Linked DNA regions of Diceros bicornis minor. The protein of the gene in region 1 purifies or fractionates together with the protein of each later gene. This does not show direct contact. Links are inferred from orthologs where the notes say so. Each region holds a gene or a part of one and is shown on either strand. Other genes may lie near its edges.

Region 1 (7,730 bases):
GCGCTAACCAGGCAGCTCTGGGACACCAGCCACAGGGCGCCAGGAGCCAGGAGTGCTGTCGGGGGCTTTTGTTCCCTGTTGCCGGGATATCTGCCTGCTCAGTCATCCGAGCCCTGAGCCGCAGGGTGGCTCTCAGTGCCACCCCGTCCCGCCCTCCCTCCCTTACTCTGCCGCTTGCGGCCTCTGGCCAAAGGCCTCAGCTCCCCCAGGGCCTGGACAGCCATTGCCCTCCGCCTGGGCCTGGCTGGCCCTCTCTGTGAAGTGAGTGAGTGGGTCGGGGGTGGGGTGGGGCTGGACAACCAACTGAGGGTGTGAGGGTGTGTGTGCCTGCGAGTGTGTGTAGGGATGAAGTGTGGGGGGATCTGATGACTTTCTTTGTTTGTTGAGCCAGCTGCTGACCTGGGCCCTCACCCCCCGCGGCCCCCCCCCCCCTCCCCGGCTATGAGGTCTCAGTTGATTATTACCCAGCCAAGAGCATAGTGCTCATTCCTGGGGCTCATTTCTCGCGGCCTGAGCTTCACAGGCTTGGGGTAGGTCTCTGCTTTCTCACTGAGGCTGCAAACAGCACTGCCCCAGGGTCAGGGCCCAAAAAACGTGGAATAGCTTGGGACTGTTGTCCTGCGGCCTAGCCCCTGTGGGTGCCCCAGGGAAGAGCTGGGCATCCTCAGGGCCTCTGTCCTCAACTAGCCCCTGATCCTGATGGTTGAAGACTCTCAGAGCAATGCCTGCCCAGCCTCAAATCACTATCCTGCCTTGTTCATTTCTAGCTGTGTAGTCGTATCCAAACCATGCTGGGGGACAGGGGTCTTGGGCCTGGACAGCAGGACAGGTGGGTGGGTAGTGTGCCCTGGCAAGGCCGGGATGTTTACACGGTGGCCTGGGCCCCTTGGCTGCTCTGTGCCAGGTTCCAGAGACTTGGAACATGAAGCCAGTGCGGGAGGCAGAGCCCCTGTGGTAAGCACCTGGCTCAGGTAATTGTCCCCCCAGGGAGGCTGACTGAGAAGAGGGGGAGGAGTGGAGGCAGGAAACTGGGGAGGGGTTGGGGTGGGGGGCAGGGACAGCAGCTTTAGGAAGGCCCCATAGCCCCTCCAATAGGACACAGCTGGCCTTCACACCCCACAGCACTCCCCCTCCCCCACCAGCAGACTGCAGCAAGGCAGGATGCAGAGCCTGGCAGGGGGCGATGCTCCAGCTTCCGCTTCTGAGTCGGCCCTGACTAACTGTCCTTGGGCGGGGCAGTGTCTAGGAATTCTAGGACTTGGAACAAAAATGTGTCCCTCAGTCCATCATCCTCCCCTAGGGGCTGTGTTCACGCATAGTCTGGCCCTGGGCTTTGGGCTGGGCCTGCTGGATGCGTGCGTGACAAGTGCTTTCCCCTTGAACCTCAGCATTCACACCCCTAAAGCCCTCTGAACATCCTCCCTGTCCCTCTCTGAAGTCAAAGGTGGAGGCAGCTCAAGCACTGGGCTCCCTCGAGGTCTTTCCTCGACGGCCTTCCTCCCTCGGGGCCCTGGCTGCACCATGCCTACTTGACCTGCGGATCTGGGACATGAGTTCAGTCCCCGCGGGTGTGGGGACCTAGGGAGGGCACGGGGAGGGAACGGCTGCCACCTGTACCTCCCCTACCTGCCAGGTGGGATCAGCGTGGCGGAAGTAGCAGAAGTTGTCCGTGATCCACTTGTAGATGGCCGACAGGGTGATCTTGGTGGCCTTGCTGGCCTGCATGGCCATGCAGATAAGCGTGGCATAAGAGTAGGGCGGCTTCACGTGTGGGTTAGTGGCGTAGTCTACGTCGTCGGGGGGCGGGGCCTGCAGCCCCGGGGGCGCGCTCCGAGACGTGCACGACGACGTGGGCTTGCCCGGCGTGTGCGGCTGCCCCAGGCAGGCGGGGTCGGCCGCCAGAGGCGAACCTGGCGCCGCCGAGCCTGGCACCTGGTGGTAGCCATGGGGGTCGGTGTCCCCCGGGGGCAGGGCGGGGGCCTTGGCGTTGAGAATGGAGAATTCCTGCAGCCACTGCAGGCTGGTCAGGCTGTCGTCCAGGGCGTCGGGCTCCTCCAGGCCGCCCTCCGACCCGGCCTCCTCCGCCACCCCTGCTCCTGAGAGACGTAACCAGCTCTCCGCCATGTCTGTGGGGGCTCTTCAAGGGGGCGGTCAACATCCACGGACTAAGCCAAGGGTGGCCCGCCGCGTTCTCCGGCCCGCTGACTCCCGCGGCTCCGGTTACACAGCCTCCTGGACGCGCACTTCCATCTTGCGACCTGGGGGTCGCCTCCTCCGAATACGAATGTGGTGCCTGTGGGGACCGCAACGGGGGCTGAGCACCCTTCCCCCGCCCCCGAGGGAAGAGTGTGTGCGAGGGGGGAGGCTCCTCTAAAATCGTCCCCGCAAGCTGGAGAGGATCTTTTAGTGCCAAGGTCTGGGAAACAGAAGTAGTGCCTGACCCTCACAAGGTCCGTCTCGCTCTTCTTTTCCTCTTCGAGATTTCAGAGGAGACTTTATTAGCCAAATGAGGAAAGAGGTAGGGGCATCCGAGGCTATCCCCTTCTTCCCAAGAGCGGGAAATCAGAGCCCCTCCTTCCTGCAACAAGTGGAAGTGAGGCGAGGGAGCCCGGGAGGGCAGTACGATAGGGCAGGGGGCCTGGGGAGGTCGTCTGATCTTTGAAAAGGGATGTTAGGATGGGGGATCACGGGAAGGAAGGGAACAGGACAGAGTTACGGGGGGCGGGAAGTGAGTGTCCCCCAAACTCCTCAGATGTCAGTCCCCCGGCCCACCACTTCCTTCAGGGACAGATGGGAGAGCGGGCTGGTACCAACGCTCTCCCTTCCCGCGTCCCGCAGCCCTTTCCGTCCCTTACCTGGCTCAGAGCGCAACCTGGGCCAAAGGAAGGTTCTGGAAGAAGTTCCTCCCACCCCCTGCGGCTCTCTGCCTCCAGCTCGAGGGCCCGCTAGTGCCCCTCGTCGCCCCCCCACCGGACGGCGCCTCTCTGAGCGACAGCAGCCCCAGGACCGGCATTAAGTAGCCGCTCCAAAGGCTTCTCCTGCTGCTATGGCGACGCTCCGCCCCCATAAACAGCTTCCGCTGCTGCCATTGGTCAGCACGTCTCCAAGGAGACCGCGGGCTCTTGCCACTCTCTCTGGCGGTAACTCTCTTCGAACTCCCTCCTTCTGCCGCCCTCTCCCGCGCCACCCAGGCCCCTACCCGCCACCGAGTCCCGGCTCCGCGCATTCCCGCCCGAGGGCCCCGCGCAGGGCTCGGAGAAGCGCGCGGTCCGGCGCCTCCGCCAGAGACCCCGGGCACCCGACGAGCCGTTCGCCCGGGAACCGCTCTCGCGCCCCGCCCCCTTCCCATCTGGGCTGCCTCGAGGTGCTGGCGGCTCCTGGGACGCGGCCCAGGGCGTGGGGGCCAAGGCTGGGAGCAGGCGCAGGCTCGGGAACCGTATGCTTGGGGGTTTCCTTTCCTCTCCTCTGGGCTGCGTGTGGCACTTCCTCACGTTTCTGCAGCCTTTCCCTCTCTCCCGACCCAGAGTGTGCTCTCTGGTGTCAGCAGGCAGGTATGACTCTCCGATGCCACCTGCCGCTCAGATCCGCAGAAACGGCTGCACTGACGGCAGACACACCAAGGCGGGTAGGGTAATCCGGTGTTTCCCGGTAAGCGGCTTCCTCTCCACCTCTGTCCTCAGGAAGGTTCCCGGAAGCTGACATTCCAGAGGCTTCTGCAGAAGTGCTCTTTCTCTTTTCCAGATAGCTGAGGTAGCAGAGCCCATGGGTAAAACTGACCAAATTCTCCTAGTGGGGCCATTTGCCCCATTAATTTCACCAACTTTTAAGTGACAGGGACTAAGGCTAGAGGGACACGGGGGACTGTGGCCCTTCCTCCTCCCTTCCCCTGGCCTCACTCCTGCCACCAGCTTTCCTGCTCTTCAATTATTGAGGAGCTGCAGTGTTGGAGGTTCTCCGGTTTAAGGGTGAGGGTGGGGGTGAGGGCTCCATACTCAGGCCTCTGCCCAGGAGCAGGGGAGCTGGGGGTGGGAAGCTTGTGCCCAGGGGATGGCACATCAGCTTCTGCCCAGGAGCATGTCTTGCCCTACCCCTTGCCCTCTCCCATTCCTCCACCTCCAGATTCTCCTGAGGAAAAATATTAAAGAGTGCTGGGGAAAGTCAGACAGAAACTTTCACAAATAAGCCAACTGTGCAGTTAACAGCTCTCCTTCCTTTGTAAACAGTTTTATTCATTTTTAAGAATCATGCAGCAATCCATAAATATTGCATCCTTGATGTCCCCACTGTAGTGTGCCCATGAGTGCACTCCAGGGAGTCACAGTGGTACACAGAGGGCACAACAGTACACACACACACTTGCACACACCAGGTGTGCAGATCCTAAAGCAAAGTGAGCAACCAGCATGCCAAGATCAGGTGGACAGGACACTACCTCTCCCCAGGTTAAACGGCTTAAAGTGTGTGGGTCTGTCCCCAGGAGATTCCCCAAAGTGGCCATGAACTCTGGAGGGATGGAACTGGGTAGGGGAAGGAAAAAAGGCTCTACGAGGTGGCCAGGATCACCACACCACTCGGAGGCCATGGGAGAGCTCAGACCTGAGTATGGCAGGAAGGAGCTACAGGCTTCCAGTTAGTGTGTGCTCTCGTGTGAGAAGGCAGGCCCCATCGCATTCTCTCTGGGTCAACTGCTTACACACAATGACTGTCTCCAGATGATGGGTTCGGGCAGTAGGGTTGGCAGCTGCCCTGTTCCCTGATCAAGCTGACTGAGGACCAGCCCCTTTGGATGGGATGATGGGATGTTTCTGCTTGCCAAAGAGCTAAATGAGTACCAAGAGATGAGAGAGAGAGAGAGAGAGAGAGAGAAAGAGGGAGGGAGGGAGGGAGGGAGAGAGAGAGAGACAGAGGGAGGGAGAGGGGGAGAGGGAGAGAGAAAAGGAACTGTCTGAGAAACAAAGAGTGAAGGGCCATTTCTAACCCAGGTATGTCTTGGTTATGGAACCAAGGTCTTGAAGAATCTTTCTGAGCCCCTTCCTGGGAGAGGACACAGACCCTCCAGAAGGGGTGAAGATAATGGCTTCCTCTTAGGGTTCCTAGCCACTGTGGGCTACTGTTTACCTGCATCTCCTTCATCTCAGGTAACACCACACTGTGACTACTACCTGCCAGGAGAGGAGGGGGGTCTGTGTGCCACCACCCCATGCTAACGGAAGCTCCATCCCCTGGTGCTTCTGGGGCTCAAAATTCAAGGAAATCAGCAAGTGGGGTTATTGCTCAAATATTAAATATGTAAGAATGTGGGGGAAAGATAGGACATTAAGCGGGGCCCGAAACAGCAGAGTCCACTGTAGGATTTCAGAGACAGTGGACATGGAAACTCAAGACAGAAGCTTAAATTCAGGTTTGGCTCATGTCACATATGTCAGGACAACAGGCCTCCCCCCCCCCAACCCCCCAGGGCAGGACGTGAGCCACAACCACTAGTCAGTGTGAGGGTCACCACCTACCTGGCAGTGCAAAAAAGCCACACAGAAGGCGCAAAGGATCCCCTGAGCACTGGACTCTCTTTGAGGCCTTGGAAATGGCCCTGAAAAACTCTTTTAGGATGACAATTCCAAATGCTAAGACTGGCCATCATGATGGGGACAGCCTGCGGCTCTGCCATATCTCAGCCTCACAAATTGTTGTACCTAACTTTGCTTCCCAATCTCATGCTCCACTAAACAACCACCTTTTCCGAAAGTAAGTAGACAAAGCATCTATCCAAGAGCGATGTGGACTCCAACGATAACACTAGTGTTGAAAGAGGAGTAACTCCCAACATCTTACAGTCTAGCATTGCCATTTCAAGCTTTTGTTTATATGCCTCACACTGGACTGAGGTGGGGTGGGGTGGGCATATAATTTGAACAACAGTATCTCTAAATCTTTAATGAGCCTATGGAAGGCAATCCCTCCCCCTCCCCCATCAGGCTCAGCGGATCTGGAAGGCAGTGGAGGAAAACATGGGTGGGGAGGCTCCCAGACCACTGCTGGCCCCACCTCAGTGCCCTCCACCACATCCTTGGGGACTCCTGGGCACCAATTTGAGGATCACCGGTCCCCCCACCTTTCAGCCTGTTTCTCCAACTATTAATACGAAAAGGGGTGGAGACAGGAACAATAGGGATAAGAATACCACCTGACAGGGCTGTAGGGATGAAATGTGATAAGATCCCACAGCCCCACCACAGTACCCGGCACATAAAGGTGGTTAAAAAGGTTTTTTTGGAAATGTCACCTTAGGATGCAGTCCCGGGCCTTCATGAATGTGCCTGATCATAAATCACCCTCGTAAGGGCAATCATTTAATAGGGGGTTCTCAGATTCGGGGTCTTCTTCCTGAGCAGACCAACACACGAGGCAGAGGAGACTAGTTCTGCTACCAGAAGCAAGAACAGTTTTTTCAACCAATCTTTTTGTTGCCACTGTTTCTAGTTCTTGCGAAAGGAGCTCCTGATGCTTTTTGTGTGTGTGTGCGAGGAAGATCAGCTCTGAGCTAACATTCATGCCGATCCTCCTCTTTTTGCTGAAGACTGGCCCTGGGCTAACATCTGTGCCCATCTTCCTCTACTTTATATGGGACGCCGCCACAGCATGGCCTGACAAATGGTGCCTTGGTGCACACCAGGGATCCGAACCCGGGCCGCCAGCAGCGGAGCACGCACACTTAACCACTACGCCATGGGGCCAGCCCCTCCTGATGCTTTTTGAGGGAAATTCCACTTAGAGTGAAATATGGCTTTCCCTTCTCACAGGAGTCATCCCCCAACCCCACCCCAAGTTGGAGGTTTCAAATCAGTTATGATGTCCCAGAGACCTGAAAATGCCAGATGGGTGTTCGCAATGAAGCCGTGAAAACTCCAAATCATCTTGGTCTACCCACTCAGGAGAAAAAAGATGCACAAGAAACAACCAGCCTGTGGACCTTGGCTCCACCTGAAGACCAACATATGGTGGAAACATTCCAGAGAGTCTTTGCAAAGGGTCTCATGAGCCACAGTTCATTGAGTGGCTTTAGCCCACAAGGAGCAAGGAGGGTTCCAGTTCCTTCTGGGAGGGGAAGGATCAGGGTATAGAAGGAGACAAGGCTGGGAGAAGGAGCAATTGATCTCAAGGTCCAGCTCTCACATAGGTATAAAAAGTCTCCATGTGTCTTGCTGAGGATGCCCACGAGGCCAGCGGTCCAATGAGGCCAGGATGGAATGCGAGGACGGAGAGGAGCCCTGGCACAGGCTGGGCCCTCAAACGGCCAAAGGGCCCCACATACAGGGCCTGCTCTCGGGGTCCTCCAGGCTGCCGGATGATAAGCGCCGGCGCTGTGTGTTCCGACGACTGACAATGTTGTCATCGTCCTGCCAGGAACCTGGAGAAGAGAAAAGGAAGGTTATAGGAGCCAGACCTTTGGCCGGGTCCAGATGGTGATTCCAGCAGGGCAGCCCAGGAGTTCGGCAGAGAAGCCAGCAGGATCCGTGTTACCTGAAACTCCCATGCGTGTGCAAGCCACAGCGTGTGAGAAAGAGACTCAGGGGAAGTGGGTGCCAACAGGTGCAGGGACTGCTTGTGGCCCACTGGACTATGTACAGCCATGGCCACTGTGGCCCACTACCAAGAGAGACCCGCAGGATGCTCCTTGTTTTGTAAACTTACCCTACAATCCACTTTTGTATCTTTATTTGGTTTTGGGGTTT
Region 2 (7,086 bases), on another chromosome or scaffold:
TTTATTTGAGGACCTCAGTAGAGTACAAGACTATTTGAATACTGGAGAAATAATACATTATTTTTAAAATTAGGCATAACTATCTCATATAATGAAAACATTGTGGAATGATGTATTTTAGGAATGCATTTAGTTTACTATACTATACATGTAAATGTACTAAATAAATATGCCTAAACCATTTAATGCTATTCATAGGCAAAACAATCTAAAAAGATTGAGACAGACAGTATGCAACAAATCACAGATATTCAGCTACTCAAAACAAATTACAAGTGACTCCTATTTAAGTTTTAGTTTTAAAGCGTGGTCACTTTCACAGATTTTCGTTAGTCTGAAAACTGAGGAGACACGAGAACAGCAATATATAATACAGTCCCTCCTAGGAAAAATAACACAGAAAGAATAAACTAACTGCTAAGTATTTATCCTTGTGTTAAATTTTAAAATTTATCATTTGTTAGTATTTCTGGTTATTATTTACTCAATCCATATAAAAAATGTTGACATACTTAAGCCCAAAGCATCTCTAACAGCAACTTTTATACCACATGTGTGCTTTCAAAAATGGATAAGCTGCAGAATTCAATTTAAGTTCTGTTCTCAAATCAACTTGTGAATTAAAATCTAAATTATAGAAAACCTGAGATGGTTGTAATGAGTGAAATGCCTCAGAAAAGTTCTTGGGCACTGCAAATAAAAATATTAAACCATAACATTATAGCATATAATCTACTCCACTGAAAACCTATTATGTAAATGGCATAAGGTCTGAAACTGTCTCAAGACAGCAAAACTCCTATTAACTTCAGAGAGAGTTTTTAGGACCCAGGAGCTTCACCATCCAAAAGTGTTCAGGCATTTGACACTCATCTGAACAGAAAAAAAAAATACAAGTTAGTATTAGAGATCTGCATGGAACCCAGGCTGGGGAGGGGATGAATAAATATAAAGAAATTTGAGTGCTCCGAGAAAGATTTCTTTCAGAACAAAATATCATCCTCATTTAAAGTAGCAATCACAAGGAAATGAATTGAAAGAGTAAAAGTCTTTTAACCCCCAACTCTTATTTTACAAAATATTAGCCTTAATAGCATTACAATTACCCAACCTGCTCACTGACAATCTCAAGAATAATTAAAACTGTCACATTATTCACAGGCTGCTCTGTCAGGTAAATCAATATATGTTTGCTATTAGAAAGAAGACTTTAAATAAGTATTTTAAAATGCCAAATTGGAAACTTCAATATGTGCAAATATAAGAGTACATTATATTTGTTTTAGTGCACATTATCAAAACTCTTTACTGATAATCTATTAATTAAACGTTCAGCTAAAAAATGAACAAATTTACAGGATCTGTAATATTGGGTTACCTCTACCAAGAGCTCTACCACTTGAGGACCGATAAGTATTCAAATCTACAGAGAAAAACAGATTTTTAAAAGACTTAAAAGCGAAAAAGTTCTCTCTCCTCAGCAGGTTTAAGCCACTGTTCAAAAAAGTAAAATAAATAAAAATAAATTTAAAAAAGTAAATAAGAAAGAATACGTTAAGTACACACATGCCGAGATCTTAACAACCACAAAGAAAGTGAAATATACACACGTTTCAAGTTGAGAAGCTTCATACATTCTTTATGAACAACTTGACTTCAATTTCAACTCTCAAAGGAAAACGAACAGAGAGGATGAAGAAAAAAAAAAGAAAGAAACTCTTTTAAGTACCGTAACTGTCACAAATAACACTGTAAACTGAGTTCTCACAAAGCTTCCTTATGTCCTTTCCCTGCTTATCACACACAAAGTCTCATAACCGCAATGAAAAGTGTTAACACTCCACTGTTGGGAAGGAGGTTCATCAAAGTGAAATGGAACCTCACTGGTACCCCTCCCACCTCCACATGAAGGATAAAGCACTGTCAATAACTACTAACCCAAGTATCACAGATGCCCTGCATCCGGTTTAAATCACAAGCGCGCGCACAGACACGCACGCACACACACCAAAAAAGAGAGAGAGAAGACAGCGACTTAAAAAAAAAAATCTCTTTGCCAGCGCAGCAAAGAGCCCAGCGAAGAGGCCCCCGGTTTCAATGTGTGTGCAAGGGGTGTGGGGGGAGAAGTAAGGGGGGTAGGGAAGAGTGCTGAATGGATATTAAGACTGTTTGCAGCACAAAGAAAACACAGTTTTAAAAGAAAAAAAAAAACCATGCCGCTGATGATGAGCAGCCCATGTAGCACAAGCCAAAGAGGGGCAAAAATGAAGGGGGGAGGCGGTGGGAAAAGTTCACCGTTGCAGGAGGATAAAAATAACAAAACCCTTCACAAGGCCCCACAAGTGAACAACAGCAACAACAACAAAACATCACCTCTTGGGTTCCCCCCTGCACACTGTTGTCTATTTCGGTTTTGAAAGAAGCAGGAAACAAGCAGCTTTGGAAAAGAAGAAAATGAAAGAAAGAAAGGGAAAAAACCCTTCTCTCTTCACCTGACCCTTCCTTCTCAGACCAGACCTAGGGGAGAGCTTCACCATCCGCATCGGCAAACTGTGGCTCCCTCTCCCGCTCGTCTCGGAGCCCTCCGAGCTCCCGCTCCATCCCTGCAGCGCGGCCGCCGAGGGCCGGGGCCGGCGGGCGGGCGGCGCGGCGCCCACACCCCCGACCCAGCCGCGGCGCGCACGGTCCATTGTAAACAAGCCCGGGGGACGGAGCCCCTCGGCAGCGGCGCCGCAGCGGCAGCCCCCGGTGTCAGGAGTGAGACCCCCGCACAGCCACACTCGGCTCGCACACACGGACACACACACGCACGGACACACGCATTCACACGCTCCCACACACATGTAGAGACCGAAGAATATTCACCTTGGCTGTGGATTATTGTGGTGTTGTTGGTGGGTGATGGAGATGGTGGTGGTGGGGAGGAGGAGGAGGAAGAGGAGGAGGAGGAGGAGAGGAGTAGTTGTTGTTGATGGGTAACAGTCGCCAGGACTACGGTGACTATGGCGCTTGATTCACAAGGCAACGGTTGCTATAACTCACAAAAGAGAGAGAGAGGGAGAGAGAGAGAGCGAGAGGCAGAGGGAGACACTCGCACGGGGAGGGGGAGAGGGAAGAGGGGAGGAGGCGGGCCCGGCGAGCGGCCGGAAGGGGCGGGCCCAGGGCCGTGACTGACAGCACCCGAACCCGGGCTTGGGGGCGCGAGGCCGGGCTTCCGAGGAAGGGCTCTGAAGAGACGCGCTTAGGTTTGGGAGGGTTGAGGTCACCCGAGAGTCGTCTCGGAGGCACGCTAGTACAAGCGCTGGCCAGGCTGGAGGGCTTGTTCAGGGGCGTGTGCGAAGGATACTTTCTGTGAAACGCGAGCTGCCAGTCCCAGCAGCCAGCTTTGTGCAAAGAAGGCCTAGAGCTGCGAGAGGGTAACTGCTAATCCGAGGGAGGGGTGGTTGAGGACGATTCCAGACACTTTGTACGGAGACGAGCTGCAGCCAAAGAAGAATCTACTTTGAAGAGCGGCTTCTGCCCCCCCACCGCAGTCTAAAACGTCATTTCCGGGGCGGGGCGGGCGGAGGGTCCCGGATGTGCCGTTGCTCGCTCGGTCATTCTGTTTTTTTTTCCTTTTCTCCTCTTTTTTTTTTTTTTTTTTCTCTTTTCTGAGGCGCCGGAGGTGTTCCCAGTGGCATCGGCCTGCTGGCTTAGAGTATGCCTGGGCACTCCGGGGCTCCTGGACCCGCGCTGGACTGGAGAGTCCGAGCCGCCTTCGCCCTCCGGCTTTCCGCCCTCCAACCCGCTCTCGCCTCCCGAGAGGCGATCTGGAGGAGCGCGGGCGGCGGGGCGTGAGCCGCTGCCTCCGCCGCCATCTTGGAGCCGGCGAGCCCGGGCTGCTGGTGGGCAGCGCGCCGGCCTGCCGCCGTCCCGGGGCGCAGAGGGCAAGGTCGGAGCTCCCGCGGTCTTCATTCCAGAGCGGAGAGGCGGGGGACCCACTCCCCACCCACAGGGCGGGGAGTAAGTGCTAAGAAGAAGCGAGAAATTGCCCTCGCCGGAGGATGAGAAAACACATGGCGGTCCCGTTCCGCGAAAGGCGTTGAGGGTTGGGGTAACTTACACCTGCCGGGGATAGCACCCCGTTAGTTTCTAGTTCCTCGTTATCTTCAGCCCTTCAGTAAAGGGCTCGTCCCTCTTTGAAGTTGACCGAACCGCGATTTGAGCTCAACCCACTATCCTATGACTTGCCCTGCCCTCGGCCGGGTTACTTGACAACCCGCTGTATCTCAGGGTCTTGCTGTTTCTGGCTGTATTGAGATAGACGAATGGCTTCCGTCCGTGATGCACGTTGTTAGCACACAACCCGGTGTCTCGAACACCCATTGGGATTGCACAGCCTCTAATACCTCACATTTCTAACATACCCGTCCAATTCTCTGCAGACGAGAGTCCTACAGGCACATGCCCCTGGGCCCTGCCAATACCCCAAACCTCCAACACAGGCAGCTAAGCTGCTTATCCAAGACAATAACGTTAGATGTAGAGCCTTAGGAAGTCAGTTCTCCTCTTGAGGCTTAATCTTTGCACCTGCAAAGTAAGGGATTTGGGCCGACATAAATTCACAGTGCTGAAATAATAATAGCGACCATTACTGAGCTCTTATACAGCCCCAGACGTTGTGTTTAGTGTTTTACATACATTATCTCATTTAATCCTCATAACACCACTATTAGGTACAAAACATTCTCATTTTAGGGAAAACAGGCGCTGAGTCTTAAAAATCAGTGGTTTTATATTACGGCTCTGTGTCATGGAATATTAGATAAGGGTATTTTAGGAACGAACTATTTAAACAATAGATTTAAGAAAGTAATGTTGTTGCCCATGGTAATCTCATAATGAGTTATAGAGGTTCTGATGATAATGTATGACAATGTAATAGTGAACAGTGGTAAGTACGGTGCTCAAGCTAAAAGGTTCTATGACCCACCATGTAGAAGGCCTTTCTAGTCTGAGACAAATGACAATGTGGTGAACAACAACAGTTAAACTCTTTAGATTTACAATAATTTCGACATACATGTGGGAAAGATACACAGCACTCCAGCTGTATGAAAACTGGTAGTCATTATGAATATTCGTTTATTACATTTACGGATAAAGTCCTCTATTCCTATAACTGTGCGGGGCTGTTTGCTCACACTACACAGCTCTGAATAGCTTTTCTTTTTTAGTTCTATTGTCTGTTATAGTTTGCTTGTCCCTTCCCTCACTGTCAGCTGTTGCTTCTTCCTGCCGTCAGTGAACATAGCTCTGTTATCCTCCCCACCCTTTTTATCTATTGCTTTTAAATCTGCAGGCGAGAAAACCACATAATGAAGCTTGTGCAAAACTGTGTCTCAAGAGTGAAAATCGGTACTTTGAGGAACTCTCCTTTAGAAAAAGTGTGTGACCTTTGTGCGAGGGCGTTGTAACATCAGTTTTCAGCCGCTTAAAGACGACTTTTTTTTTTTTTTTTACCTACTTCCTGATTTGATCTTTTCCTGAATTAGGAATAGATATATTTCTTTAAGTGAGTTCTTTAGGATTTAGAATATTTTTCCGTGTTCTAGGACAATTGATGGTATGACTTCTAACCATATTGAAGTTACTGTAATATGAAATTGTCAATATTACCACCACACTGAATCCAATAACCAGACTACCAATTCAAGCTATCGATTTGGAAACATCCTGGATTATATATGCATGTATTATTTTGTGCTATAACTAGTTATGAAAGGACCCAGAAATCCTTTTGCCTATAGTCAGTTCTGATAGGATCTCCTTTTTGGTCATTTTTAAGCTGCATAGTTGCCTCTTCACATATGTTGTACATATGTTTCAGAAATAAATTATTTGTTAAGAAGTCACAGAAAAGATCCGGCAGTGTCTAACATTTATTACCTGTTACCCTGCAGTACACACTGGGCTCAATGAGACAAGGTACCTAACCAAAAAATTTTTACATTCCTTGAAAAATTCAATAAACTGTCGATGCAATAATTATTTGTTGAGTACCTGATATGGGCCAAACATAGTTCCTCTCTGTTAAATGCTCAAAGTCAATATCTACGAATTTTAAATGTTGTGTCCTTTGAACTTGGATTGTTTTTGCTCTCAGCTTGGAGTGATTGGCAGAGACAACCACTTGAAAAGTATGAAGCCCTGATTATTTATGTATGATTATATACTTTATCAGTTACTTTAGTACCTTCTTAAGGGTAAATTTCCTTTTCAATATTATCTGTTAGGTTATTTCCTCCTATTGATATCTACTGCATATTCAAGAACTAAAAAATTACTTCAACATTAATGCTTGTAAAAGGAAAAGCTGTATGTGAAAAGATAAAATACAGATATGTGATAGGTTTACTTTTGAAAAATTGTATTTATGAGAGTTTTGAAAATGTATCAGTCTGTGGCAGCTTACCACTGAATTTGTGGTGCATCCTTTTATAAAGCAGAAATCACACCTGTTTAAAAATGTTTCACTTGATTATAATATCCAATTTTCTTCAATTGAGAGACAACTAGAGTCTTAGTTCTCATATGTGAAATGAATGGTTTCATTTCAACCAGTGTTTATTGAGTACTTATATGCAGAGTACTGGGGAATTAGACTACTGGATTACTAATTACCTTTACTAGATCTGAAATTCTGTGGATATATGCTAATTATCAATAATGATAGAGAGTGATAGAGGCCGAGGTAATTCAAAACTGTACATAGTTTGCCACTGTTCTCGGGAGCACTCCCAGCTCTACCCATCCCCACTCAAAGTATATTTTGGTTTTTAAAATATTGCAATATTTTTTTTTCTGTTAGATTTGTCTTTCTAATTTTGTTCTCTTTAAGTAATTCAAACCAACTGTTTACTTGGCAGTCCTGAGGTATGTCCATCCTTATATATAACCTGGAATTCAATTTTTACTCCCAGCACAGAAAGATGGTAATTAAATCATAAATTATTTTTTCTCAAGACCAAATTATTTTTTGATATACACATGTAGATTTTTCCCTTCATTGAATACAGAATGTCAAATACAATATTTGCATCATTA

What was found. The genes of interacting proteins can lie anywhere in the genome.
Region 2: the proteins of FOXJ1 (region 1) and RFX3 purify together in Homo sapiens (affinity purification with mass spectrometry; 3 studies listed by BioGRID and IntAct, counting the BioPlex papers as one, with this or other methods). This does not show direct contact. The link is inferred for Diceros bicornis minor from reciprocal best matches to the Homo sapiens genes FOXJ1 and RFX3.

The regions. Positions count from the first base shown.
Region 1 is NC_080757.1:56,492,627-56,500,356, forward strand, and holds the start of FOXJ1 (forkhead box protein J1), read right to left. Parts: upstream 3,007-7,730; 5' UTR 2,856-3,006; intron 2,294-2,855; 5' UTR 2,125-2,293; coding exon 1,627-2,124; intron 1-1,626. Other genes in the region: E3 ubiquitin ligase RNF157, read right to left, coding at 7,284-7,405. UniProt on the Homo sapiens protein: Transcription factor specifically required for the formation of motile cilia. Acts by activating transcription of genes that mediate assembly of motile cilia, such as CFAP157.
Region 2 is NC_080761.1:27,726,868-27,733,953, forward strand, and holds the start of RFX3 (transcription factor RFX3), read right to left. Parts: upstream 3,018-7,086; 5' UTR 2,866-3,017; intron 1-2,865. UniProt on the Homo sapiens protein: Transcription factor required for ciliogenesis and islet cell differentiation during endocrine pancreas development. Essential for the differentiation of nodal monocilia and left-right asymmetry specification during embryogenesis.